Linked DNA regions of Diceros bicornis minor. The protein of the gene in region 3 interacts with the protein of the main gene of each other region in a pairwise test. Links are inferred from orthologs where the notes say so. Each region holds a gene or a part of one and is shown on either strand. Other genes may lie near its edges. The genes, in order: XRN2, DNAJC7, DISC1 and MPPED1.

Region 1 (7,769 bases), on a different chromosome or scaffold from region 3:
GTAGTTTTCCATTGACTTTATTTATTAATTTTTTTTGTGAGGAAGATCAGCCCTGAGCTAACATCCATGCTAATCCTCCTCTTTTTGCTGAGGAAGACCGGCTCTGAGCTAACATCTATTGCCAATCCTCCTCCTTTTTTTTTCCCCCAAAGCCCCAGTAGATAGCTGTATGTCATAGTCACACATTCTTCTAGTTGTAGCCACATACATAGCTGTATGTGGGACGCTGCCTCAGTATGGCTGGACAAGCAGTGCATTGGTGCGTGCCCGGGATCCGAACCTGGGCCGCCAATAGCAGAGCGTGTGCACTTAACCGCTAAGCCATGGGGCCGGCCCTCCATTGACTTTAATCACAGGGCATGGTAATACTAAGAGATTCCCCAAGAGATCTCCTATATTCCAGACATACCCTTCCTTACCTCCTTTGTGGAGTAGCAGTCCAATTTCCTCTTGGTAGTCAAGGTCAATCACCCCAGCCAACACAGTAACTCCCTCTCTGCCTGTTGAACTTAAAATGGCCAGGTGCCAGTCTTAACTTTCAGTTCAGTGGAATCATTACCATGTCTCCTGGTGGAAGCATTCCTTCCTTTGGAACTAAGACCTCTAGGTTCGCAGAGTATAAGGTTACAGGAACAGGAAGCAAAAATTTTGCCACTGGGTCACTATGGGTAATAGTGAGTGGTGCCACTCCTATTTCTACCCCTTGATACCTGGACCTGTGAATCTTGGCTATGGGAGAAATAGTACCATATATGGAATGCTGCTTTAGAGCATATACAGCCTCCTGGAGTACCTTGTCCCATCCCTGCAAGGCATTGCCCCCTAACTGACAGTATAACTGAGGCTTCACCAGGCCATTCCACTGTTCTACCTACCAGCTGCTTCAGGATGGTAGGGAAAACAGCAAGACTAGTGAATTTCATGAGCATGGACCCATTGCTGTTCTTCATTGCTATGAAGAGAGTTCTTTCATCAGAAGCAATGCTTTTTGGAATACCATAATGGTGGATAAGGCATTCTAGTCCACGGGTGGCAGTTTTGGCAGAAGCATTGTGGGAAGGGAAGGCAAATTTGTATCCAGCATGTGTCTGTTCCAATAAGAACAAATGCTGCCCCTTTCATGATGGAAGTGGTCCAAGACTAATCAGAATTAAGGGTCTCAATGCCCCCAGCTCCATCAGTATTCCCACATGTCCTTATTCCAACTTTTAGGATTCCATCCATTCCTTCCCAAACACTGCCCTCACTTTATCAGTAGACATCAGTGAGGCTGGGAATTCAATTTGTTTTGTAATTCACTCCCAGGATAAAGTTCTGAGATAGTAGATAGGGTTCTGAGTTTGGTTTTCAGCCATCTCAGCCCTGTGGCTACAGGGGATAAGGGTTTCTTTCAGGGCAGACATAGATTCTTTTAAGTCATTTATGTGGTGCTTGAGCTGGGAAATTGAATCTCTGAGTTCATCCTTTTCTCTCCCCACTTTGTCCACCAACGTTAGGAGCAACCAGCCAATCCCACTATATTTGTTAGTTTGACAAAAATGCTTGAAGTATCATATACATGGTCACCCAGATTCTTGCTTTTTATAAGTGGTTGATTAGGAATATCCAGTGGTGATATTTTGCCTATCTCTATTGCCAGATCACACCATGTACTATCAGTGCTCTCTTTATTACTGGAAATAGTCCCCAGTGTCTTTAAATCTAATCAGATTAGAGAGTCAATTCCAGAAGCCCCAGAACCAAATCAGAAAATGCATTCTTAAGATTCTATTCCTCTCAAACCATTCCTGGTACCAAAATCTGTATTAGTCAGGGTTCTCCAGAGAAAGAGAACCAATAGGATGTATGTGTGTGTATACATATATATATATATAAAGAGATTTATTATAAGAAATTGGCTCACCCAATTAGGGAGACTGTCAAGTCCAAATCTGCAGTGTGAGCTAGATAACCCAGGAGAGCTGATGGTGTAGTTCCAGTCCAAAGGCTGGCAGCCTGGAGTCCCAGGAAAGCAGATGGTGCAGATGAATTCTGAAGGCAGTCTGCTGGAGAATTCCCTTTTGCTTAGGGAGGCTGGTCTTTTTGTTCTGTTCAGGCCTTCAATGGACTGGATAAGGCCCATGCACATTATGGAGGACAATCTGCTTTACTCTACCAATTAGAATGTTAATCTCATAGGAAAACACCCTTGCAAAAACACCCAGAATAAAATTTGACCAAATATTGGGGCATTCTGTGGCCCTGTCAAGTTGACACATAAAATTAACTATCACAACTATTATTTTAAATACATCAGGTTATTCACAATGAATTTTGTAAAGATAATGAGGCAAAGGAAGCACTTGATAATCCAGATAGCAATAGTTTTTTCAAAATTTTTTAAAGATTCATTTCTATAATTACAATGTTAACAAGGCTTTAAAATGAATTTATGAATGTTCACATTCTGGTTTCTATATAGTCTACACGTTAATGTAATCTAGATGTCAGCTGGGAGGCCTCCCCTGCTCCCTTGAGGTCTAGGCAAAAATGATTCAAAACCTCCTGGTTCCTATCCTACAGAAGTTCAAAGCCTGGTTCAATATTCCTGCTAATTTCCAATGCTTACAAATTCTCACCTCTTCTGCTTCTTGAGCTCTGCTATGCTGCCCAGCCCTGTGACTGTACACCACAGTGACCCCGACATGAGACTCATACTCTTTTTCAAATTCGACAACACAAACCCCACAGTGAGCCTGAGTCTGGTAGACTTTATTAGAAACACTGGGCTGGGGAAGGTATCTCACAATACTTAGTCCATATCCTCCTGCCATCTTTCAGGTTCCCTCTCTTCTCTACTTCCACTTTCACCCTCCCCTTTTCTCAGTGCCCAAAATTCCAATTTTTGTACCTCCTTTATGCAAAGCAATTCTAGCACCCAGGTGAATTAGCTGTGTACTCCTCAAATTTTGTTACTGGTTTGTTTGGATTCTTTCCTTTGCAAGGGATGGGAACTTAGCCCAAACTAGCTTGGGACAAAAGGAGAATTTACTGGCTCATAGAATTAAAGAATAGGTTTACCAACCAAGCTGCAGGAAGAGGGATTTAGCTGTACTCAAAAACCACTGGAACCAGGGACTTAAATCTGCTTCTCTCATTGTGGACTGGCAGCAAGTCCCATTCTCTTTCAGCTTTCAGCTATCTGGGAGGGACTGCCTTACCTTCCTATGGTTCTCAGTTCAAAAATGCTGGGCAAGGACTCTCAATGGCCCAATTTGCCCAGCTGTTCAATCACGTACCTTGTGTGTGGTCTTACAAGAACACAGCACCTCCTAGGGGAACCAAATACTTGATGAGTAGGGCCTGTTTCCAGAAGAAATGAGGGACTTCACAATAGACATAATACTCTGGAATAGTTCTGGCTGTCCTTAAGTAAAATATGGGCTAACCATTTCTCTTAATTTCCACACCAGCAGTTTAAACAGTTTAAAGAAGTTTAAAGTGGCATCAGACCACAGAGGAAGGGGCAGTAAATATTTGCACACCAGGTAGCACGGAGAAATACTTTCATAGAGGCCTCTTGAGGTGAGCCTTTAGGACTGAGCGTGATTTGTCAAGCCAAGAGGGGATTCCATGGAGAAACACTTCCAGGCTTGAACAAATGGACATAAATATCTCTTCTTCCAGATCTCTTTGTATATGCTTAAAAAAAGGATTTGAAGCCATCAGAAAATAAAGAATAAAAGCATCCTGTTACTGTAAGGACAGCATTAAACGATCTTTACTTGGACTGAAACACAGCAGTATGAATAAGCAAGCATAATTTCATTTATTTATTTTTTCCCCCCAAAGCCCCAGTAGATAGTTGTATGTCATAGCTGCACATCCTTCTAGTTGCTGTATGTGGGACGCGGCCTCAGCACGGCTGGAGAAGCGGCGCGTCGGTGGGCGTCGGGGATCCGAACCGAGGCCGCCAGTCGCGGAGCGCACGCGCTTAACCGCTAAGCCACGGGGCCGGCCCGATAAGCAAGTAACTTAACCCCTTTACAGCTTGGCTTTCTCATCTGTTACATGAAGATGATAATATGTTAACACTCTCAGAAGGTTCACGTGACAATTAAATGAGATAATCCCTTAGCCAAAGCTTTAGTACGTGGTAAGCACTCAAATGCTGGAGAGTGATACCAGCAATTATTTTATACTCATAAATGTAGCTGGAAGGTTGAATTAGATGCTAAATGCCGGCTAGATCCCCTTTTATAACTAAAGGGAGTTACGCAAACCAGCCATCATTCGTGTAAAATACCTAAAAATATTCCTTTTCATAGTCCAAGTACGTACTGTGGCACAAAACCGGGAGAAACCAGGCCATAGAAATAATGAGTGTGTTTAGACGCTTTGATTCTACTCTGAATTGAGATGGGTGAGAAAAAGGAGGTGATCAAACCGGCAAGGAAGACCTCCCCGGGCGCCTGCGGAGCACGGGGATCCCGCCCCAGTGGAACCCGAGGGCTGGGGAAGCAAGACGCCGGCGCATCCCGGGATTCCCCGCGACTCACATGAGGTCGACCTCGGGCTTCAGGGCTGGCACCACTGAAAGCTAACGCCGCAAGCGAGGCCAGCCGCAGCCCCCACCACCCGGTCAGCCGCAGAACCCCGAATCCCACAACCAGCCCGGCCCCGAGCCTCCTTCCCGGCTTCCCCGGCGGCGGCGCCGTGACATCACTTCCCGGACGGCGCGCACGTGGGAGGAAGTCCCGGTGCCGCGGCTGCCGCTCCCGCCTGTCTCTGGTTACGTTCGTTCGTCCGGGGCCGCGCCGCCGCTATGGGAGTCCCGGCTTTCTTTCGCTGGCTCAGCCGCAAGTACCCGTCCATCATTGTCAACTGCGTGGAAGAGAAGGTGAGGCGGTGCCTGGCGGCAAGCCCGGAGCCCCAGCGCGTCTGGGCCGCGGCCCTCGGGACCCGCCGGCCGTCCCCGGGGTGCCGTCCGGGGCCCGCGCTGCTCTGTGGGCCCCGCGGGCGCCCGCGGCCCGACACGCGGTTGGTCGCCGACACTCGTTTCCGGGGCCCTGGGAGAGCAGCCTCGGCGGGGCGAGGGCCGAGCGGGGTCTGTGCTCGCTGGAGGGCTGCTCCTCCCCTGCCCGCTTTTTCCGGCCCGGAAGGCCCCGCCCACGGCTTTGTTTCCTCTCGGCACAGCGCATTTTGGGTTTCAGAACAGGCTCGAAGGTGTTGGGCTGCACACGCCTGGTCCGCTGAGTTACCTGGGTAGCGAGGCGCACATGTTGATTCCAGCCTCTTACAACCTTGTAAAGTAACCCCCCGCGGCGAGCTTTCTGTTGTTTACTGCCCGTGCTCGAAAGGTTTTCTCCTGGTGCGAAAGGACTTTTGTTGCTGTTTTAGATCCTACGGTGAAAGCAGCATCTTAGAAACGTCTAGGACGAGATAGAAGTCTCATAAGTGCCCCCTTCTCTAGGTGCCCCGACTGCTGGACAGAATGCTTGTTGAAATTTTCAGAATTCCTGGATGCACTTAAATACTTGTTGTTTGTTTGTTAATGTATATGTAGACTTCTGGCCATTATTGAGTTTTCTCTTTATCGTTCCCGTGATCCCGTCCGAGTTCGATTTTGTGCTTAGAATTTCCGGATTGGGAAGGTTCAGCGGCGCTTCATGCCCCTCGCCCCTTCGTTTTTGAAGGAAGTGCCCGTCAGTCACAGTGAACTGCATTCTTTTGCTGAGGTTGGTGAGATCTTGATTTTTACTTAGCTTCTATCCAGGAGGAACCGAAAGCCTTGTTTTGACGGCAGTTTCAGTATTCCTTGTGTTTTTCCCAAAGAGAAGCTGTTAAACTGAATGCTGGTTTCCTTTGTTTTTAAAACTTCCATCAAACTTTACTTGCATCTCATCCCGTTTCTACTCTGTAGAGATAACCATTTTTAACTGTTTTGGTTCTGTCTCTAGATATCATGATTATGCCTGATTTATTGGTTTTGGATCTATCTGTTGAATTCTAGCTATGATAGAAGAGGATTTCGTCACTTATGCGGCTCCCCCGCCCCATTCCTAATAGTAAATCGCTGTCTTTATTTCATCTCTTGGTAAGCTTTATAACTTTGAGTAATGTGTCTTTTTTATTACATCTTCTATTTAAAGTATCCCTTGACTTCTCACTTTCTAAGGTTAGGTATTAGCTTTTCTATAAGTTTTCTACCTCTGCTGCTCTTACTCTTCACGCCAAGCTTGCCAGCTGTACTTTTGCTTTGTTGGCATCCCAAACTAAATTGTCACGGCTTTGGCTATATATAGGATTGTTTTAAAAGCTGAAAAATCAAATAGTATTGTAAATTATTGTCACTTTCCAGATTCAAGTTATGCTGTGATACTGTTTCTTTTCTTGTGCTACTTTTGTCTTTTTCTTGGTGTTATCTTTCTGTTTTCCTCTTTATACGGTTCCACATCCAAACTCGCTGTTTTATTAGGTGTTCTATCAAGTCCTCTTCTTGGAGACTCCTTCTTGAGGTCTTTATTTCTGTTGTTGTCACACCTGGTTCTTTAGGCTTGCTGGAAAGCTGCTTCCTGAGATTTTTAAAAATTCCTTTCTTCAGTTGAGGGTACTATTTTCTGATCATCTTTCTTGGCCTAAATCCTTCCTTGGTTTTTATTCTCAATTGAATTCTTAAGAAATGCTGTGCAGGGTGTGAGTTTTCTGATTCTGTTCTACCCTTGTACACATGAGTGATCATTAGCTAGGCATCAAGTTTGAGTTTGCAAATTAGTTTCCCTCAAATCTTTGAAAGTGCTGTTCTTTTGACTTATGTCATCCAGTATTTTTGATGAGTTTTTTTTTGTGAGGAAGATCGGCCCTGAGCTAACATCTGCCAATCCTCCCCTTTTTGCTAAGGAAGACTGGCCCTGGGCTAACATCCGTGCCAATCTTCCTCCACTTTATATGGGACGTTGCCACAGCATGGCTTGCCAGGCGGTGCGTCGGTGCCCGCCCGGGATCCAAACCGGCGAACCCTGGGCCGCCGCAGCGGAGTGCGCGCACTTAACTGGTTGCACCACCAGGCCAGCCCTTTGATGAGAAGTTGAATGTTAATGTGATTTATTTATTTAACCGATACTTATGTAGTATTTAACACATACCAGGCACTGTTCTAGGCACTTTATAGATTAATTTATTAAATTCTCATAACAACCACATGACTACTACTACTTACTATTATTATTATTACAGATGAGAAAACTGAAGCACAGAGGGGTTAAGTAATGTACTCAGGGTCACTTGGCTAATACACGGCAGAGCCATTGTCAAAATCAGGAAGGCCATGCTCTTAATTTCTGTGTTCTGCTTTCATTCTTTTGTAGTTGATCTATTTTTCTTTCTGAATCTTTTCAAGATCTTTATCCTTGGTAGTGTAAGTGTTCATGATTATGTACTTAGGTATAGATTTTTTTAAAATTTAAGTTTATTTTGATTGGTGCTTGGCTGACTCTGAGGCTGAAGACGTGTGTTCTTCAGTTCTAGGGAATGCTCCTTGATTGTTTCCTGACCTCCTTTTTCACTGCCCTCTCTGAACTCTGGATCCTGGTCCTCCTAGACTGATGTATTTTTCTTTTGTCTCTCTGTTCTCCCCCTCCTCTCCTCCTCCTCTTGCAGCTTTATTGAGGTATTATTGACCTACAACAAACTGCACATATTTAAAGTGTACAGTTTAATACATTTTGAGATATGTGCACATCCATGAAACCATCACCATAATCAAGATAATGAGCGTCACCTCTAAAACA
Region 2 (6,905 bases), on a different chromosome or scaffold from region 3:
GGTCTTGCAAGCTTCTCTCATTTTGCCTCCTGTGGGACAGTAAAAATTTAGCAGCAGCAGCAGGATGTCCTTGAGCCAAGACACAAGGAAGGAAGGACTCCAGGCTGGACTTCACAAAAACAACCCAAGAGACCCATCAACTTCCGTGTCCCCAGATGAACTGGTAGTCGGACTGTAATGAGAGACAGAAACTTGGTCAAATGACTAACCAAGCCAGATACTAAAGGGCACTTGTAAAGGAGTTCCTATCCCTGCCCTTTGCTATGCCTACACAGGAGGATTCCAGGATATGTGTAAAATGTAAAACAACCTTCCTCCAAATCTTCTAAATCCCCACTCCACTTTCAGCACTGGAAATCCATAGGTAAACAAAGCTTTTTCTTAATAATGGATCTCAATGTTTACCCTCCTAAGGATGCCTTATATGGCAGAAAGTCAAACTGATTTTTTTTATTTCACTATATTTTCCTTTTGATTTGCTCACACCTAAGTGGTATATAATAAACATCTGTTTTATTATGTCTAAAAGATATCCGTATAAATATGTATAACATGTAAGTCTATTTGGTAAGAAAGCATTTTTTCAGTTAAATTTAATTATTTTTTCTTAGTGGTAGATTAAAAATTGTGCATTTTACAATGACATCTTAAATTCTATGAAATAAGGCAGTTAACATAAGTCAAGGGCCAGCCCCGTGGCTTAGCGGTTAAGTGCGCCCACTCCGCTACTGGCGGCCCGGGTTCGGATCCCGGGCGCGCACCGACGCACGGCTTCTCCGGCCATGCTGAGGCCATGTCCTACATACAGCAACTAGGAGGATGTGCAACTATGACATACAACTATCTACTGGGGCTTTGGGGAAAAAAAAAAGGAGGAAGATTGGCAATAGATGTTAGCTCCGGGCCAGTCTTCCTCAGCAAAAAGAGGAGGATTAGCATGGATGTTAGCTCAGGGCTGATCTTCCTCACAAAAAAAAAAACATAAGTCAACATCCTCTCCTATTTTGTTAAGATTTTATTTATTTTTTCCCCCTAAAGCCCCAGTAGGTAGTTGTATGTCATAGCTGCACATCCATTCTAGTTGCTGTATGTGGGACGCAGCCTCAAGCATGGCCGGAGAAGCGGTGCGTCGGTGCGCGCCCGGGATCCGGGCCCGGGGCCGCCAGCAGCAGAGCGCGCGCACTTAACCGCTAAGCCACAGGGCCGGCCCTCTCCTATTTTGTTAAACTGCTACCAAATACCATATGTTTTTGTATAACACGCTCACATTACAACATCACCTGTTTTACGTGTTTTAATCTATCTTTAGGCTCATTTACTACAGTTTTATGATAGAATACCCTCTAAGGCTGTAATTTTTTTTTTTTAAGGAAAAAGACTTACTTTAGATAGGAGGCTTTGAAATGAAACTGAAATTAGAGACAGTCCTACATCAGAGATTTACAATGATTACGATGAGTTTTTTTTAATTACATATAGCCCAAGTCTCTATTTATAGCACAAAGAACGACTAAACTCTTCCCAAAGTAGATCCTTACAATTAATTTAAACTGTGTTGAACTCTTTGTTTATTTTGCAGTTCCTTAACGATGCTGAGGATGCTTAATTCTAAATACCTGTAAAGAACTAGGAACAATGTGAAAACTCAATACTAAAAACACAGAGAGACTAGACTCTGACATCCTGACTTCTCTGACATCCCAGGGACCTACTACTACATGTTGTCAAGCCTCTCAGCTCCCAACAGGTCAGGAACTTGGAACACTGGCTGCAGTAACTACCCTTAAGCTGGATAACCATTCATTCTGCCTCACTGAGTACCTCTTACGTTTCTAACTTGGACAGTAAAAGATCTCAGAATCCTGATTTCAGTTCTCATGAACTAATTTACATCGCCACCTCAAATCACCCAGACTGAAGCCATAATGAGCTTGCTATAATGATACGAAATATGTGGGAAGGAGACTGAGGGAACTGTAGTCAACTAATCTGCAGTTGATAAAGAAAGGGCTCCAAATTTCCAGAACCTTTTCGTTAATTCTGCTTCAGGATTATGTCAAGTATGACTACCCACAACTGTGTTCCAACCCCACTTCCAACAACCTGCCTTAGCTGTAGCCAGAATCCAGAGCGTTCTCGAAAACCACTCACTCAGCAGCTCCCCTGGCTAGTCCGGACTGGCAAACTCGAGCCACTGCCGCTGCCCAGCAGTGCCAACAGCGCCCAAGGAGCTGCCCTCCTCCTTCCTGCTTAAGAAAGAACAGTCCTGGAAGAATGAAGATCTTAGGAAGGAGGATGGAGGAAAAGGAGTTTGACGTGTAGACATGAAACAAGCCCCTCACTCTTCCTTCTTTCTCTATCACCTCCGACTTCTGGGGTAACCGGGGGGCGGAGGGAGGACAAGGTCAATAATGGAGACATACAATCACCTCGGACCCAGACTAGGACTCGCTGGGGTATAAATACGGAAAAAAGGGGGTGAGGACAGCACAGGCTTTGGTGATGCAAAATGCTGACAGACAACAATGCACAGAAGTTAACAAGAGAAGGCGGGGGTCAGGGGCGATGTAAGGCAGTCGTCATTGTCGCCGCGCCGCCTCCCCCACCCCGCCACAGACCTCTGAGAGCTCCTCAGGGACCTGGCTTTTACAGTCAGGACGACCTTCTTCTCTGCTAGAGAACACAGCTGTGCCTCAACTCCCCGGCCAGGCGGAAGCGGGAAGGAGGGCCGACCTCCGAGAGCGCCCCTTCAGGGGGTCCATCCGGACTCGATCTCAAATGGGGGGGGCGCGGAGGGCGGGGCATCGCCTTCACAACTAGGGGCTGCATCATGGCAGGGACGGGTTTCCCGGAGCCACGGAGCAGAAGCTCGTCCCTTCCACTACCCTGTCACCCGGTTACCTCTTCGCGTCTTCGTCGTAGAGCAGCTCTGGCTCGGTCGCCGCCATTACCACATCGCACCCAGCGGCAGCCGCCATCTTACCGCCGGGACCAGAGAGCCGAGTGGGAGGCAGGCGGTGAAGAGCACTTCCGGTCGGAGCATCGAGCAGCTCGGCGGCGCTGCGCCCAGAGGGGCTCCCTCGAGCCCGTCTACCAGCGAGAGGCTCTACTTGGGGCCAGAGCGGCCTTCCGCCCCCGGAGGTCCACGGTGGTCTCCGCCCCGGGGCGGGGGCCCAGGCACGATTCCTGTGCGTAGGGGGCGCCACTGTACCCGTGGGTCGGAATAGGAGGGTCTAGCCTCTCTAGGTTTTGGCTTCCCTCAGTATTTCAAGAGCCTCGTTGCCATAGCAACCTCCAATCCTAGAGAGTCTCCTGTAACGCTCCGGAAAGCCTGAGCTGGGTGGGAACCCAGTGACCCAGGACTCTGGAGGGAACGAGCACCCTCGACTACCTTCCCGACCTTGGAGTGTGTCCACAGCTTCCTCCTGGGAAAGGCAAGAAGAGACACTTTGAGCCCGGTTCCCCAGCGTTCATCGGCCCCTGGAAGCCCTGCCCAACCAAGCCAGGGAAACGCAGGGCGTCTTCACCCCGCGCCTTTCATCCCCTCCGGATCTGCAAGCGTCAACTGGTTCATGACTCTAATGACGCTGACCCTTTTACGAGGCTGCTTTCGTGTCAGCCGGCTAGGAGTGCCATCTCAGCATTAAGGCTAGGGAGGGTGGCAAGCCCCAGACCCTGCCCTGGAGTTTATGAGGCAGCTCCCGGGGTGAGCTCCCTGCCCCAGTGTCCCCCGTACCCCCACCCCTCAGATAAACTCGCTGCTCAGCGCGCTTGTCTTGCCGAATGCAGTCTGGATTGGGAACTCAGAGGGCAAGGACGCTGCCTAATCGTTTTTGTAGTACTTCCCTCACCCAAAGCAATATTTGTGGACCTGAATTAAATTGGGGTTTTCTGAGGTTAAATTGGGGGAATTTGAGGTTAAAATTTTTAAGCTAAGGAAAACTAAAATAAGAAGGGGGCGTGGGCACTTAAAAAGGATCTACTCTGTTCCTCCAGTAAAATAGTGTGTGCCCTTGTCCATAGGCTACTTGTATGGTCACTGCCTATCACAGTGCTAAGGGAGGGGAATCCACACCCATGCCTGAGTAGGGGAGGATGGGAGAGGCTCAGTGGGTTGGAAGAGAGGTCATCCATCCAGCTAATCATTCAATAGCCCTCCCAAAGTGCCCACTCTCCCTGCTTTAATTGGGAGGGCACAGACTCACAGACCACCTGCCCTGCCTGCCAATGGCTCCCAGTCCACAGCCTCATGCGGGAGGCAGTCTTGCACCATCTTCCCACTTTGTGTTCCCTGCATCTATGCCAACTCATCTACTCTCACAGCTTTAACTTGATCTGTCGTTGACTCTCAGCTCTGTTGATATCTCCAACCTAGACCTCTCTTCTGAGTTCCAGATTTGTATATTCAACTATCTACCGGATATCTCTTGGATGTTTCACAAATCCTCAAGGCTTAACATATTTTTTTATTTTTTGGTGAGGAAGATTAGCCCTGAGCTAACATCTGTTGCCAATCCTCCTCTTTTTCTTGAGGAAGAGTGGCCCTGAGCTAAGAGCTGTGCTATCTCCGTCTATTTATATGTGGGACACCTGCCACAGCATGGCTTGATAAGCGGTGCATAGGTCCATGCCCGGGATCTGAACCCGCAAACTCTGGGCTGCCAAAGCGGAGCTCGTGAACTTAACCACCACTTGGCCGGCCCCAAGCTTAACATATTTAAATTGAATTTGTCATTCTCTCCCCACCCCTCAACAACTGAAAAACAAATGCTGTACTTGATTCTCTTTTCCTGAATTCCCTATCTTGTTGAACGGGTCACCATTCACCTGGTCACCAAGTGAGAAAGATGGGAAACATCATGAACTCCTCCGTCTCACTCCTGACTCCTAACTTACCACCAAGTCTTGTTGATTCTCCTACCAAATGTCTCCCAAATCTATCACCTTTCCATCCCATTTCAGGTTCCCGTCATTTTTTAAAAACTTGGAATACTACCAAAATCTCCTAACTGGCCCCCAGTCTCATTTCTCTCCAATCTTCAGTCTTCTGCCAAAATGACCTTCTTAACAGCAAAAATTGATCGTATCACTTCACTAGCATAAAACCTATCAATGGCTTTCCACTGCTGTTAGGATACAGTTTGAGCTTTTTGGCCTACCACCCAAGATTATTTGGCTCCTTTCTACCATTAGTATTGAACTCAAGTACTTGTAGTTCCAGAAAATGCCATGACTCTTGCCATGCTTTCTCCACCCTTTCCTCCCAAGCCCTTTAAACCTCAACACAGACATGACCTACTCCAGGAAGCTCTCCATGATGCCCACTGCCTCCAAGTTAAATGCCCCTTTGCTGTGCTCCCATAGCTCCTCTGTGATAGTTCTTGCCATACTGTACTGTAATTGTTGGTTTAGATGTCTGGCTTCTCTAGACGGTGACATTCTCATGGGCAGCTACAGTGTATAATTCGTCTGCTTTTTCTCAGCTCTTGGTCCTGTACCTGACACAGAGTAGGTGCTCAGAAGACATCTGATGAATAAACGATTGAATAAATGAAGTGTTACTGAACTATGGTAGCCTTTAGGGAAAGAACATTTGGTCATCAGACCCACCGGACCAACAGCCCGCGTCCGGGGAGCTGGAATCATATGCGCTCAACCAGCCCAGGTCCTGGCCGTCCTTTCCCCCGCCGGCGTCTGGGGGCGCTGTGAGGGCCGTGCCCGCTCTCCGCCGCCGGAATTCGTCTTGCCGGACGAAAGCTAGGGGGCGGGGCCCGCAGAGCCTGGCTCGACCCGGAAGAACGGAGGCCTTGCGGCCGTGCTGCCTTGCCTGCGGTCCCTGCGTTCCTCGAGGGGCCCGGCCGGGGTGCTGCGAGGGCCCCGGGAGGTACGGAGCTGGCAGGCCAGGGTCAGCTACCGTGTCTGGCCGCTTTAGGTGGCAAGTTTCTGCGGCCTCTGACTCCCTCTGGGGGTCCCATCGTGGGGAATCTGGCGGAGGCCCCTCTGGCTTTCTCATGGGTATCCCTTATTCCGGGGCTCACTACATACATGGGGCTCCTCGGGGGGGAGTGGGGAGGAGGGTCCGACTCAGGAGTTTCCGCTGGAGAGGTTTCTGTTTGAGACCCCTTTTGAGTGTGATCTCTGTATTTCTGCTCCCTGGGGGACTCTGGGGCTTCTTCTGGGAAGCCTGTGTTTAGGATGCTTTCGAGGAAGTCTCTGGGGCCTCTTCGGAGAAGGAATTTCTGTGTCTGAGGCTTCTCATCTGGGTCTGTCAGTCTAAGGGTAGACTTACCCTTAGGAGGGTAAGGAGGAGACAAAAAATTGTCTCCTTTTCGAAGCCTTTTTCCCTTAGATTTCTTCACTCCTGTCTTTCTTGTCTGATGTTCTTCATCTTAGCCATGGACTTGACTGGGAATTAGAGGTCATTGATTGTCGCCTAGATAAGTCATACAGGAAAGCAGAATATCCTCCTTATTTGCTCATTTTCCCCAGGAAGAGTGGCTTAAGACAGATCCACACAAAATAGTATTCCTGCTTATTTTTCTGTGGGGTGGTGGTTAAAGAGAGGAAGCTGAGCCAGAGCTCCCTTCAGCAACTGGTCCTCCACATCCTGTGCACAGAGAAGAACATGACCAGTGGTTCCTTTAAACCAGCGACCCTCTACTCTCTTTATGGCAACATATACTGAGCACTTGCTCTCTGCCAGTTCCTGGCCAGATACTGGGAATAACAAAGATCAGTAACGTACAGCTGCCTGTCTGGTAGTGGACACAGACACATCACTTCAATACACCCTGACTAGAGTAGGGGTCAGTGCTGAATCCCTAAGGCTATGCATTCAGTTCAGAACTTGGGCTCTCAATTATAGGAGGTCTGCCCTTTGTTTTGATCCCACCTCACCCAGTGTG
Region 3 (6,945 bases):
GATTACCCTGGGGAATGGTGCCATATTTTTGGTCTCTGCTGTTGCAAGATTGGACACTCAGCAGTGGCCATAGTCAGATTGGCCTTGGTGAGTGGAAGTCTATGTTGCTGAGCCCATGCATAACTTGCATCCCTGCCACCATGGCCACTTTGTTCATGAGCCCATTGGGCAATGTCAGGAGTGGCTGGGGCAAGAGATTGACTGGTATCCATAGAATGGGTTATCCTATCCACTTGATGATTAAAATCCTCCTCTGCTGAGGTCACCCTTTGGTGAACAATCACATGGGACACAAATATCTTCAAGTTTTTTGCCCGTTCAGAGAGGTCTCTCCACATACCTCTTCCTCAGATCTCCTTGCCACCAATTTTCCAATCATGTTCCTTTCAAATTCTTGACTATCCAGCCAAACCATTGGCCACAGTCCCCGAATTGTCATACACTTGTACCTCTGGCCATTTCTCCTTTCAAGCAAACTGAAAAACAAGGTTCGCTACTCAAAGTTCTGTCCACTGGGAGGATTTTCCTTCACTGCTGTCTTTCAGGAATGTCCCAGAAAGGAGCTGTAGTGCTATGGCTGTCTACTCTTGGATGGTGCCTGAACATTGTGCAGGAACATCTGTAAACTAGGCCTGAGTTTTCTCTTCCTCAGTCAACTGATCGTAGGGAACTCCCTATGAGGCCATAGCTGCAGGCTGGGAGAGAGAAGGTGATGTAGCAGGAGTGGGGACCATGGGCATTTGGGTCACTTCCTCATGTAACTTACTTGTGCCTTTAGGGTCTGCTCAGGCAGACCAGTCTCATATATACTACTTTCATTTGATGGAGCACTGCTATGTTCGCCCAACTTTGCGGCTTGTGGGTCAGACAACACCCAGTTCATGATGGACAGTTCAGGTTGCAGGGTAACCTGATGGCCCATGGATAAGAGCTCAGTCTCCACTAAGGCCCAGTAGTAACTCAACAGCTGTTTCTCAAAACGAGATTAGTTATCCACAGAGGATGGCAGGACTTTGCTCCAAAATCTTAAGAATCTGTGATGTGATTCAACTATAGGGGCCTGACAAAGCCTCCATCAGCATCTCTATCACCACTGACACTTCAGGTACCATTGGATTGGCCGGATCTTATGGCAGAGAAGTGGCAGAGAAGCTTGCATGGCAGCCTGGACCTGTTGCAGAGAGCCTTTTTTGTTCTGGGCCTACTCAAAACTAGCGACTTTTTAGGTCATTTGGTAAATGGGCTTGAGTAGCAAGCACACCCAAATGAGAAATATGTTGCTTCTAAAACCCAATGAGGACCATTAGGTGTTGAGCCTGTTTTTTGGGTTATAGAAAGGGCCAAATACAACTTATCCTTCACCTTAGAAGGGATGTCTCACACCACTGGACCTCTAGAAAATCCACTGATGGAAGGCCTCTGAATTTTTGTCAGATTTATTTTCCACTCTCTGACATGCAAGTGTCTCACCAATAAGCCTAGAGTAGTTACTACTTCATACTCACTAGGTCCAACCAGCATAACGTCACCAATGTAATGGACCAGTGTCAGAAAGGAAAGGCAATAAGGTCCCTGCTTGACTGAATTATGAGGTAGGGTTGATATATCCCTGAGGTAGGACAGTGAAGGTGTATTGCTGGTCTTGCCAGCTGAAAGAATGCTGCTTCTGGTGGTCTTTACTAACAGATATGAAGAAAAAACATTCACAGATCAACAGCTGCATACTAGGTACTAGGAGATGTGTTAATTGGCTCAAACAATGGAACTACATCCGGTGTAGCAGCTGCAGCTGGAATCACCATCTGGTTAAGTTTATGATAATCCACTGTCATTCTCCAAATCCATCTGTTTTCTGCACAGGCCACATGGACACGCTGAATGGGGAAGTGGTGGGTATCACCACCCCTGCATCTTTCAAGTCCTTGATGGTGGCATTAATCTTTTTTATCTGTCTTCGCATGCAGAATTGCTTTTGGTTAACTCTTTTCCTAGGTGGAGGCAGTTGTAGTGGCTTCCACTTGGCCTTTCCGACCATAATAGCCCTCACTTCACAGGTCAGAAAACCAATGTGGGGATTCTGCCAGTTGCTGAGTATGTCTATTCCAATTATGCATTCCAGAACTAGAGAAATAACCACAGGATGGGTGCAGGAACCCACTGTGAGAGGGAACTGAGCTAAAACTCTGTTGATCACTTGACCTCCATAAGCCCCTACTCTGCCTGGTAGACCATAGTGATGTTTTAGGTCTCCTGGAATTAGTGTCAGTTCAGAGCCGGTGTCCAGTAATTCCTGAAAAGTCTGATTATTTCCTTTTTCCAATGCACAGTCACCCTGGTAAGAGGCCATATGTCCCCTTGGGGAGGGCTAGAAGAAAGAGTAACAGTATACATTTTGGGCAGTGTTGTAGGGTCTTTCCTCCTTCATTCAAGAAGTTCTGGGTTGGTAAACTGCCTCAAGTCTGCCAGTTGATCGAAGGGCTGAGTCTCTCTGTTCTGGTAATTCAAGTTAGGCTTTTGTTCACTTGACCTAGAACTTTTCTGCTTATACAGATCAAATAAGAATTTAGTAGGCCTCCCATCTATTTCACTTCTAGGAACGCCATGATCAACTTGCCGACACCGACACTGTAGGTCTGTGGGAGTCAGACTATTCTGATTGTGCTTTGACTCTGTTGTCCATTACAGAAATCATGCCCACCTTGCCTTGGGTGATTCATTGCCACCATTTGACCCCTGTCAACTATAATCCAATTATCCCCGTTGCATTCAAGGATCCTAGTTCAGTGGCTGCAGTTCCCATTGTAATGTCTGACAGAGAGAAGAGTGACCAAGGATGCTGGGTCACAAGGTTATTTCTGAGTCACAGTGAAAGGTGTGTCCTCTGAACCCTCCTGGAGTGGAAAGCAGGTCTTACATGATAAATCCACTCTGATATTCCAATCCCCCTAAGCCTTTGGGTACTTCCTTAGCAGTATAGCAAGGCAGTTCTCGCATTTCCAGTGTAGGACAGCTCTTGGTCCATGTTTCAATCTAGAACCAAACTGTTAGAGCCTTTTCTAATCTCTCAAACTACAGCTTTGAATCCAGTTCTCTTAGTGGTATATATCATTAAACTCAGCCAGATCCAGCTTTATGCTCCTTCCATCTTCCACACATCCTTAATATCCATTCTCATATTCATTCTGTCCACAACACAACGACTTGGGAGTGCGTTTTCACTCCCAAGATTCTTATCTTTTGAAGGACCTTGGCCCTCCTCTAGTTCTAGTGACATCCTGCCCACTCCTCCAGAAGGTCTCCCTGACTCTTCACAAGACTCCCTCTTACCCTGGAACTTCTGCAACACTTTCCGTGCCAAGACTCTTGTGCCAAGACTCTGGCTCTTGGCATATCCTACCATATGTTGCTATTTAGTTTTATATGCATCTGTTTATCTTCCCGACTGGAGGCGAGCTCCTTAAGGGCAAGAACCATTTCTGGCAGGTGCTACCTAAGGGGGTGCTCCAGTAGCCTTCCTGAATGAGCCAAAGAGAAGAAGTGAAGGAGGTGAGTCAGTAGCCTAGGAGCTCCGCACGGATCACAGCTTGCGTCCAAGATGGGGAGGGGGCTCTGGGACCAGTCCAGTGCTGCCTGAAGATTCAAAAAGTTGGATTCACATTTCATTTTTGAACAACTGCTCCCATTCATCTCTTTCCCAGCGTCATCTGTCGTCTCCCCGCTTTCTCCTCACCCTTTCATCCCCTCCGTCTCCTCACCAACCCTTTGGTCACTTCCCTAATCACGCGTGTGGGAGGCGCCCTCGTAGACCCACCCCTGGTGGCCTCGCCGTCTCTCCTTCCCTGCGCTCCCGTTCGCCCCACCGCACTTCCCCTCTCATTTTCGCCCACAAATGAGCGAGAGTGAAAAGCGAACTTTCAGAGGTCTGGGAGACGGGCTGTGGGCCTGCCGGGCCGCCCGCCCCAGCCGCGTGCGTGCGTGTGTGTGAGTGTGTGTGTGTGTATGTGTGTGCATAAGGGGCCGAGGCTGGAAAGGAAACCGCTCGCCTCGCCGGGGAGAAGGAAGGAGCCTCCCTATTCCTCGCCGGCCCCCTCCCCACTTCCCGTCCGGCTCGGCGCCTCGCTTCCCCCTCCGCGGGCCTCGGGCGCACCGAGCCTGCTGACCGCCGACGAGCTGGAGGCGGCGGAAGCGGAGCGGGAGGAGCCGGCGGGGCGCATGCTGGGCGGGGGTCCCCAGGGCGCCCCGGCCGGTGGCGGCGGGGGCCACCGCGCAGGTAGGGTAGCTGTCACCGCAGGCGGGCGGGGCCGGGGGCATCCGGGCAGGGAGGGCGCGCTCTGCCCCCTGGAAATCGTGTGGGTCTGGGTGTGCCTCTGTTAACAGCTTGGGTTCTGTGCACCCTTTTCGAGGTGAGGGAAACTGAGGCAGGGCGCGTGGCGTGCGGGGTTGGGGGAGGAGTCCGGTCTGGGGCTGCCCGCCTGCGCCGAGCCGGGCCAGGTCTCTCCCCTCCGACTGTACTGAGATCCCGGCGAGCGGCAGTTTTCGAAACAGCGCTGGTAGGACCCGCCCCCGTGGCGGGTCTTGGTGGCCGAGGAAGGCGGCAAGGGCCTGCCTGGGGTTTGGGTCAGTCCCGGGACCCGGCGCCGCCGAGCCTCTCGTCGCTGTGCGCCCTCACCCGCTCACCTGTGGGACAGGGGACGCCCGGCTCGCCCTCGTCCCGAGACCCCGCTGAGAGACGGGTTCCACCCCGTCGGGGACCCGGAGAGAGGAGCTGGGGGTGGGATGAGGAATGTGGTGCTGGCACCTGCCCAAGGGGCTGCTCTGCAAACAATTTCGCCTCCCACTTCCGACTTGGCGACAGCAACGCCCACGGCCGGGCTAAGGAGAGACCGCTCCGTTTCCACTTCCCAGAACACGGGTCACGCTGTCAACTCTCAGTGTTGACACCGAAGCCATTAAGTTGATGGTTGCTTTTCAAGAGTGACAGGACGTGTCCTACCACCTTACTCTTAAAATACCTACAAAGGCATTTGAGACTTTCGGACGAGAATGCGGGTTGGAGTCAGGGAGTGCTGCCGTTGCGTCCTTGCTGGGCCACCAGAGGGCCGGGTAATTTTAGACACAACGCTTAGCATCTGGGAGCCTTGGTTTCCTCAAATGTAAGAGAGAGCACCCATTACCTCGCCTCCTTGTCTCACACGTGTTGTGCATGAAGGCATTTTGCCAACCGAACTGTCAGTTGGACAAATGCAATTTGGGTAGTACCAGAGAACTAAGAGTTGGAATTTGGAGATAGTCTGCCTGCATCTCAGTCTTGGACTTAGCCATGCCTCAGTTTCCCCATTTGTTAAATGGGGACAATGACAGTGCCCACCTCATAGGGTTGTTACGGGGTTTAAATGTGGCAGTGGCTGTGAAGCACTGAGCCCAGGGCCTGAGATGTGGAGTAAGCTCTAAATAACCTTAGTTGCTATTTTTACTAAGCAAAACCTAAATGATTTGGAGAGATGTGGAAATACCAGTTTGATTTGATTAAAGTATGAATAGCAGAGTATTTGAGAAGAAATTTAGTTTTATTCCATTCAGGTACGGCACATAAAGTCTTTTGGGGTTCAGCTGAGAACTGTGTCACTGAGCAAAAAGCGGTCTGGAGTGCTTTGACCCTGAGCCTCGGTTTCCTCATCTGTTTACACAAAAGATAAAAGAAAAGAAAAATGCGGACGGTAATTATGGCTTTTTGTACTGACAGAGCTGCCTGAGGATCAAATGAGGTAAAAAATCTGGAAGCACCTTGAAGAGTCTGAGTCACTGGCTAATATGAGACGTCACTGCTACCAGGAGGGAAGAATAACAGGGGCAATTTTTTGAGAGCTTACAATGTCAGGCCATCTGTTAGGAATTCTTCTGATGAAATCCGCCCCAAACCTTTGTGAGGTAGATATTTATAATCCTCATTTTCCCTGTACAAAGCTGATAATCAAGGTTACTCTGCTTTTGTCCCAAGGTCACATAGCTGTTAAGAGTAGAGCCAGGATTAAAATCCGGTGTGGGTGCCTCTCACAAGTGTGTTCTCAACCGCTGACCAAACTGAAGTTATGGAGATGAGCCATGGTTCAGAGTAGACCAATGTTAGATTACAGTTAATAATGTCTTGCATGTTTACAGACTCTAAAATATGAGTGAATTGTTAGCCCTGGCAGAAGAGACTTTGAAATAATCTTAATTTCTTTCATCTCTATTTTAAAATCCCATTTTAAATTATTTTCTTGCAAAAATAAACAATGAAAATTTGCAATAAAAAAGGTATTAAAATCTTGAAAGAACGTATTACAATAACTCATTGCAAATCTCAGACTAAATGGAATCGGAATTAATTTTATTTTAACGCTTAAATTTGCCAGAAACCTTAGAATGGCACAAGAGGTGTAACTGGGATTGAGGCTTTTGGTGTCATGGTTACCTTGCAGGGCTGGGACCCAGGACATTTCTGTAGGGACCTCACTGCTCACTGAGATGACCTCAGAGGGACGTGGACCTTCAGAGAAAGTCTGTGCACCTGAAGGGGGGTGAATGCCAGGTCTACAGGCTGCAGAAACAATTCCTAAGTCATTTGTTTCCTAAATGAAATTTCTCTTATTCTTTTTTCTTTTTCCAAAAGCAATGCGTGCTCATTACAGGAAGCACAGAAAACTATAAATAAGAAAAAGAACATAAAAAAACAACAGTGATCCTGAGCCACAGAAAGCAAGTGGCCAAAAGGAAGGGGAGTGGAGTGTCAATAGAGACAAATAGCTTGGTGTCTCTGCTCTTGTAATCCATTTCTGTGCTATGTCCATCAATTTATATCTGTTTCAAAAATGGGATGCAAACTATTATTGTTTTAAATGAAAAAAATAATATTTGCTTGTTGCTTGAACATTAAGACATTAATTTAGAAAAAAAGAAGCCAGA
Region 4 (7,263 bases), on a different chromosome or scaffold from region 3:
CCTCTTGCTGTTTGAAACATTCCCTTCACCCCCTCTCCTCACTGCCCCCCAAGTGTTTGGCACATCTGACCCTAGAGGGCGAGACATTTGGCCAGAAGGAAGATCTCTCAAGCAGCCTCTCTCTCATCTGAGATGCCATTAACTGTGATCTGTTGGTACAGAGTGAGCCTCAGAACCCAGCCCAGGCCCCTGCATCTGGGGAGCCCCTTCCCCTAGGGTCCCTCACTCCAGAGGTGCGGGCAGACAAAGGTACCAACCACAGAATGGAGAGATCTCAGGGAGAAGAAGAATGGAGAGGGGGGGACGCTTTAAAAGACCCTTTTTCTGTTCCCGGTGAGGGAGGGGCGATGGGAGAGACATGTCACATTGTCACATTAAAGATTTTGACAGACACTTCAGGGATAACGCAGAAATTCCACCCTCAACAGCAGCTCGCCGTAACTTGAAAGGCATTAACTAACCTCCACTAATTGCATGTTTTTCTGTGCATGATATTTACTTGTTAAAAGTCTTTGCCTGGCCAATTCATTTCCTCTGCCCTGCTATTCACAATCAGTTCACAGGCCTGAAATTGAAAAAATGAAATCATTTTGATAGATTAAAAGATGATTGCACTTTGGGAGGGTTTTCTGTTTTCCACTCATCCGGAACCCGCACCCAGAATGCTGATTTTTCTCCTTGAGTGCTACCCTTCAGGGAAATCCTGCTACCATCCTTAATTCCTCAGACAAGTACAGAGAGATGTGTCCTGGATTAGGTGAGTACACGAGGGGCCATCGCTGCCTGCAGGGGAATGCAGCAAGTTCAAGGAAAACAAATGAACTTAAATTACTTTCATTGGATGAAAATTTAATACTCTCACGGGTGGATTGGGAAATTTCTAAAAAGCAGGCTTTTCTTGAATGGTTATTCTACATGTTGGTCTATGCATTACTGACACAGTTTGGGCAGAAAGACCTCAAAGCCTCAGTTTTTTTACCTAAACTTAGACCTGTTCTGTCTTTCCACAAACACAGCCCACGGGGCATCGGCAGGGGTGTGTGTACAGGATTCTAAGTGCACACACAGCAGTTACATCCGAGACACGGCATCGTGCAGGCAGGCTACCCACATCGACAGTACGGGGATCTACTTCACTCCAGGTCTTCTGAAATTCCCGGGGCGGAGAAACAAATAGGAAGGCAGTTGAACCCCTTCCGAATACACAATTAAACCTCTGCCACTGGATTATTGCCTTTTGACTAGGCATCAGCCAATTAATGTACCTCCACCGAGTGAGCACTCAAATAGATGTAACCATTTCGCAGAAACCCATCTTGAGAAAAAAAAGATTTTACAAGTGTTGTAGGGCTGCCACTCGGAAAGCCAATTTGCAGGGAGCTGGCATCGTGAAGCACGGTTTATTATGCATGGCTCCCACACAGTGGTCCCCTATACACTGTGCCCGGATCCAGAATGCCTCCCGATCACCACCGGCTGGCTCTAAAGTCCCTGTGTGCTCCCTACCGCCAGAAGCCTGCCTCAGCCCAGCCAAATCCACCACTCCCTTCCCAAATGGCCGCCCAGTGCCATGGACCAAGGCCTGGCTTCCAACTTGGATGTGGCAGTCAGCTGGTGGCCTCTCCGACATCCCCCAAAGCATTTTAGCTGAGGAGACAAATTATTCACGAAGTTGGTTTAATTTTTTTTTTCTTATTTTTTTTGCAAAGACCAGTCAGGGTATTGACAGTAGGGGTGTCTGCCTGAGCCCCCCAGCGTGGTTGATCCCTGCTAACAAGTCTGCACCACCATTGAAGTCCTGCGAGCCAGCTCAACCATTCACCAGCGGGCCCACTTTTGTTCCCTGGTTTAATTTCATAATTATTTGCCACTTAACAAGCTCTCCTCCGGGCTGTTCAATAGGGGCCTTGGAAATGGGGAGGGGGAGGCAACCAAGCTCCTGGAGAACTGGGAAAGGTTCGGATCCAGCACTGGGGGAGAGACATCCCAGAAAGGTGGCCGGGCAGACCTGGGGGCCAGTTCCAGGGTGGGGCCTCCCAGCCCAAGTGGAGAGGAGATAGCAGGGGATGCAGGAGGGTGGGTGTAGGACCCCAAGCCTCGGCCCGCCGCAGACTCCTCAACATGTGAGCTCTCAGACTGACCCTCCTCCGTCTCCACCCGGGGCCTGGGAGACTGTGCGTGAATTCACTCTCCTATAGCAAGTCCCAGAATAAACACACAGGAGACGGGACTGCTCCCTAACCTGGGCATTCTATGAAATATCGCCTGTGAGGGCTGGGACCCGCCTGGTTAGTCACGGAATCCCCTGCGCCCGGCACACAGCAGACAGTAATAAATATGTGTGGAATGAGTGAGTGGATAGATGGATGGACGGATGGATGAAGTTTCCAGCAATGCCTAGCAAAAGTGGCCACTAGACCAGCATTAATCCCCCCCTCCCCTGCCTCCAAGTACCAGAAGGGCTCCGCTGCGCACAGTAGGCTCTCAACGACCACGGGCTGCTATTGTTATCACCATCATCATCACTCGCACCCGACCAGTTCGCTTCTCCCACCACCTACTCCGCCAGCAGCCAGCAGCGACTGGCGAGCTGGGGAAAAGTTTCGTTGACCCCTCGGCCCCAGTCAGAGTCCAGCGCCCGACCGAGTCCCCGGCGGCGCCCGCTCGGCGGGCAGGGCAGCGGGGGTGCCCGGCCGGGGAGCAAGCACCGGGCAAAGGCAGCCAAAGTAACTTTGCGGGCGCCCCTGCGCGGCGCCGCGGGCGTCACCCCGCGCCTGGAGAGGGTCCCGGCCGCGCCCCGGCCATTCCGGCGCCCACGCCCCGCGCCCGCCGCGCCCCGGCCAGCTCCCCGCCCGCCCCCGGCCCTACCTGGCCCCGGGCTCCTCTTCGGCGGCCGCGGCGGCCGCGAGCAGCTGCGCGCACGGAGGGAGGCAGGGGCCCGGCTCCGCGGAGGGAGGCGCGCAGGGGCGGGGGCTCCTCCGGCGGCGGCCGCCTCGCCGCGCGTCCGAGGCAGCAAGTGGGAGCCAGACTCCTCCTTCGGGGGGCGGGGGGCTCCCCGGCGCCCCCTCCTTCGCCCGCCCGCCGCGCGGCTCCGAGCCTCAACAGCTCCCCCTCCCGCCGCCGCCCTCCTCCCTCCCTCCTCCCACCCCGCCTCCCCCCGCCCCGGCGCCGGGAGGGGCGCGCTCGCGCCCTCGGGCCCGGGCCCAGCGCGGCCACCCGCCGGGGCCCCCGCCAGGCCGGCCAGGCCTCGGCCCTCGGCCCCCGCCCGGGCCCGGCGCCCGCATCCCGCCGCCCAGGGGTGGGGAGCGGGGCAGGCGGCCCGGACGGGGGCAGGAGGAGCGCGGCCCGCGCTGCGGAAAAGGGCAGGCGGCCGGCCCGCCGCGCCCCGCGCCCCGCGCCGGCCCGCCCCCAAAACCCCAGGCCTGGCCGCGCGCGGGGTGGGCGGGGAGCGGGGCGGGGGCGCTCTCACCTCCGGATCCGCGGCCGCCGCAGCGGGCACCGCGTGCAGGAGCGCGCGGCTCCTTCCGGGGCGCCGTGGCCCCCGCCCCCGGCCCGGACCCCCTCCCCGGGCGGCGAGGGCACCCTGCTCTGGAACCCTCCCGCTGGGGGTCTGAGAGTACCCCCTCCGCCCCCCTTTTGGGAAGACCCCAGCTCCTAGGCTGAATAGGCCTGGGTCCCCTTCCTGTGCCCCCATCCTTTCCCCTGGGGGTCCCAGGTCCCCAGTCCCTGGGTGCACTGGGTGGCCGGCTGGGGCCTAACCCGGAGTGAGGCAGGTAAGCAGATCAGGGCTTGAGAATCTGGCCTTGGTCTGAAGAAGGCCCTGCCTTGTTGGGGAGAGGGGAGAGCAACACCGCCAACCAAGGTGGTCCCACCCTGGGGAGTTTGAGAGGCCCCTTGTGACCTCTGTCCCCCTGCCACCGGTGGAGAGAGGTGTCACGACACAGGCCAGTCCCGGACTGAGAGGGAGGTGAGAAGGGGGTGTGGCTCCTCTGAGGCCCATCTAAGGCACCTCCACAAATGTTTGAGTCCCCTTCCCCCACCACACTCAGGTCACACATGCCACCCACTCCTGCATTCATCGCAGCTTCAGACACAGTCCCTGAGGACACCCTGTGTGGGCACCTCAGGCCTGGCATGCCCTTGGGGAGAGCCCAGTCTGGTAGAAAGGCAGACAGGGACACAGAAAAATTCCCCTCACAGGTGCAGGAGGGGAAGTGGGGATAGCTACCTCAGGGTGGCTTCGTGGAGGTGGACACACCCCAACTGAGTAAGTGTCTGCTAAGGAGAGAAGGTATGGAAAAGGCATTCCAGGCAGAGGGAACAGTGCATGCAAAGGCCTTGGCATGTTTGGAATGGCAGCTTCAGTGGGGCTGGAGAAGGGGGGGGCGGGGAACAGGGGCTGGATCAGGAAGAGCCTTAGCTGCCTGCCTAAGTAGACTTTATTGGGGGTGGTGGGGAGCCATAGAAGGTTTTTCAGCAGGGGCATGACTTGGTCGCATTTATCTTTTTAGAGTTTGCTGAGGCAGCCCTGACAGAGGAGGAGAAGGGGCTGTCAGGGAGACGCTGGCGCTGCCAAGGGAGATGATGGAGGCCTGGGCTGGGGCCCTCAGGCAGGATAGGGGGCAGAGGCTGACCCAGGGAGCCTCAGATGGGCACCCTCCTCCTCTTCCTTGTCTGTGGACCTCACTTCTGTCACCCTGTGCTGGGGCGATTCTGGGGCCGAGAGAAGAGGCCAGGCTGGAAATACACCCTCAGCCGGTCGAGTGGAAGGACAAGTGAGGCCCTGAGTGGGGGCACAGCCTGGGCAGGCCCTGTGCTTCTCCTCGGGAGCAGCGAGCTGCCACACCGTCTCTCTCCAGGGCCAGTCCTGGGAAGCAGCTTCCCCAGTGCCCTCACCCCGCCAGACACGTCCCCCCCATGATTACTCACTCTGCCCACCAGGGCCACACGGACCTTTGCAAGATGCCCAGCTCGGGTCTGCCTGCCCTGTGAGGGTCGGAGCCCCAAGGAAGCTCTTCCCAAGCCAAGACGAGAGGAGCGTGGGAGCAGTGACCTGGGAATTCAGGGAAGAAAGCCCAGGTGAAGGCACAGACTGCTGCCCAGGAGGAAGTCGGGTCAGTGGCCCGAATCCGCTGTCAGCCGCACTGCTCAGGTGGCTGCAACATCCACTTGGCACCTGTGTCATCCTAGGAACCGTGTGTGTGCCAGGCCTGTGCTGGGTGGCTGGGGAGGCAGGGGGCACCTGGTGCAGCCCCTGCCATCCAGCCTTGGCCAGTGAGAGACTAAAGGGGAGAGATACTCAGGGACCAGCCTGGACCGAGTGTGGGGTGGGGAAGGGAGAGATGCCCACCCTGGGGGCGGAGCAGGGCTTCCTGGAAGAGGGCACGAGGGCTGGGCCTGGAAGAAAGGTCAGAATGTGGACAGGGGAGATGAGACTGACAGGCGTTCCTGATAATAGGAAGTGCAGATGCCCAAGAGGAGAAGGGCAGGGAGGATAGGAGGGTGCAGACCCCTAAGGGACTGGAACATGCCATGAGGCAGGCCACGTGGGGCCTTGAGTGCCACGCTCAGCAGGCCATGGGAGCCTCTGAGGACATGTGAGCAAGATGCTCTATGGTGTCCTGTGTCCCAGCGCCCAGGACAAGGCCAGTGTTGAGTGAGTGAGTGAGTGAGTGAATGAATGAATGAGCGAATGAAGGATGAGATCACTAACCTAAACTCCCCTTAGCACCAGAGCCTCCCAGCTCCTCCAGCTGAGCTGCGCACCTCTGTGGAGCATGAAGGAGCGTCCCAGACTCAGCGGGGAGCACCTTTCTCCCTTGAGGGCTCCAGGCTTCCTGAGCACGATGTCTCCGAGGGAGATGAAAACCATCATGCCTGCCCGGGAGACAGGACTTGAGCTCAATAGCCCAACAGACTCCACCTGCTGCCTGCCAAGGTCAGAGCCACAGTTTGGCCATGGCCTCAGGAGACCCCAAAGGATACACAGTTTGAGACAGTGGAGAATCTGTGTTCCTGGTCCCTGGGGAGAGAGCACAGAAGTTCCTGTGATTCTCATCCTCCAGGCCACCTTCCTCACCACCTCCAACCCCACCAGCCCTCCCCTCAGCTGCCAGAACACCATCTCTTACCTTCTTGTTACACGCATTTATTGAGCACCTACTATATGCCTAGCACTTCTTTGGAGCACTTCCTTTGGAGCAAATCATGAGCTCCCCCCAAAGGGGCCTGTACCACCCAGTCCCAGGCACTGAGCTCTGAGTTTGACCCACACCTACCCTGGACCAGGCTGCTTCCTGGAGGTGGGGCTCTGACTCATCCCACAGGACCTGGGGCTCAGTAGGTGCCCAACTAATGGGTTCTGAAAGACAGAGAATGAGGAGTGTGGGATGGGCAGCGTAGACCCACTCCTAAAAGAGCAACCAATCTGGCAAACACAGCAGACATTCTGCTTTTGGAAAAATTTAATAACACAGTGGCACTTGTTCATGAAGACTAACAGAAACACCACATAGGCCCACACTGCGAAACCAGGCAGGGGAGGGCTCGTTCAGCTGGGATGCTATTCCCAGGCACCTACTATGTGCTGGAGGCCGGGGAGAGAAAGAGGAGAAGGCAGGCTGTCTGCCCACAGAGAGACAGGAGGTCGGCAGATGCTCATGACACCAGGGAGAAGAGGGCACCTGAGGGCGGGGAGAAGGGCAGCAGATGCAGCCTGGGACCGCTTCAGAAGGAGGTGATGTGTGTGTTGCGGAGGAGTAAGACTTCACTCTGGGAATAAATGGGAGAGGGACCCCCCAGTAGAGGGGCCAGCCTGTGCAAAGGCTCAGAGTCTCAAAGGAACATGGTATGATACCCCCTGGCCAAGAAATTCACCTTCCAGGAAGGTGTCCCAAGGCAGTAACCGCAGGCTGTCTATAATAGCCCCAAATCAGAAACAAGCTAAATGCCCAGCCAGGGGGGATCGGTTTAAAAAATTATGGTATGTCCAGGGAATTTCAAGTAGCCAAATCATGTTGCTGAAATGTGATGTGGCGGGAAAATGATATCCGTGCTCGTCACACATCCTATGAACAAGTGAAGTAGGCTACACAGGAGTGCACCTGATTCTGTGCCTTGATGAATGAGAATTAGGAAGAGGGAGAACAAGAAGATAGGAAGTATATAGAGCAAAATGTCAACCCTGGGGATGAGATAATGGGTGATTTTTTACTTAATTTATGGGACCTTGTCGTCTCCAACTTTTCTATGATCACCAGAATA

Evidence for each region.
Region 1: the proteins of DISC1 (region 3) and XRN2 interact in binary tests that used the Homo sapiens proteins (3 or more experiments, as listed by UniProt). The link is inferred for Diceros bicornis minor from reciprocal best matches to the Homo sapiens genes DISC1 and XRN2.
Region 2: the proteins of DISC1 (region 3) and DNAJC7 interact in binary tests that used the Homo sapiens proteins (3 or more experiments, as listed by UniProt). The link is inferred for Diceros bicornis minor from reciprocal best matches to the Homo sapiens genes DISC1 and DNAJC7.
Region 4: the proteins of DISC1 (region 3) and MPPED1 interact in a two-hybrid assay, tested with the Homo sapiens proteins (2 studies listed by BioGRID and IntAct). The link is inferred for Diceros bicornis minor from reciprocal best matches to the Homo sapiens genes DISC1 and MPPED1.

Annotation. Positions count from the first base shown.
Region 1 is NC_080758.1:47,785,140-47,792,908, forward strand, and holds the start of XRN2 (5'-3' exoribonuclease 2), read left to right. Parts: upstream 1-4,762; 5' UTR 4,763-4,804; coding exon 4,805-4,879; intron 4,880-5,322; exon of another isoform or gene 5,323-5,648; coding exon of another isoform or gene 5,649-5,717; intron 5,718-7,769. UniProt on the Homo sapiens protein: Possesses 5'->3' exoribonuclease activity. May promote the termination of transcription by RNA polymerase II.
Region 2 is NC_080757.1:41,231,845-41,238,749, forward strand, and holds the start of DNAJC7 (dnaJ homolog subfamily C member 7), read right to left. Parts: upstream 3,008-6,905; 5' UTR 2,979-3,007; coding exon 2,902-2,978; intron 1-2,901. UniProt on the Homo sapiens protein: Acts as a co-chaperone regulating the molecular chaperones HSP70 and HSP90 in folding of steroid receptors, such as the glucocorticoid receptor and the progesterone receptor.
Region 3 is NC_080745.1:24,572,602-24,579,546, reverse strand, and holds the start of DISC1 (disrupted in schizophrenia 1 protein), read left to right. Parts: upstream 1-3,943; 5' UTR 3,944-3,999; coding exon 4,000-4,270; intron 4,271-6,945. UniProt on the Homo sapiens protein: Involved in the regulation of multiple aspects of embryonic and adult neurogenesis. Required for neural progenitor proliferation in the ventrical/subventrical zone during embryonic brain development and in the adult dentate gyrus of the hippocampus.
Region 4 is NC_080764.1:6,667,848-6,675,110, forward strand, and holds the start of MPPED1 (metallophosphoesterase domain-containing protein 1), read right to left. Parts: upstream 3,022-7,263; 5' UTR 2,869-3,021; intron 1-2,868. UniProt on the Homo sapiens protein: May have metallophosphoesterase activity (in vitro).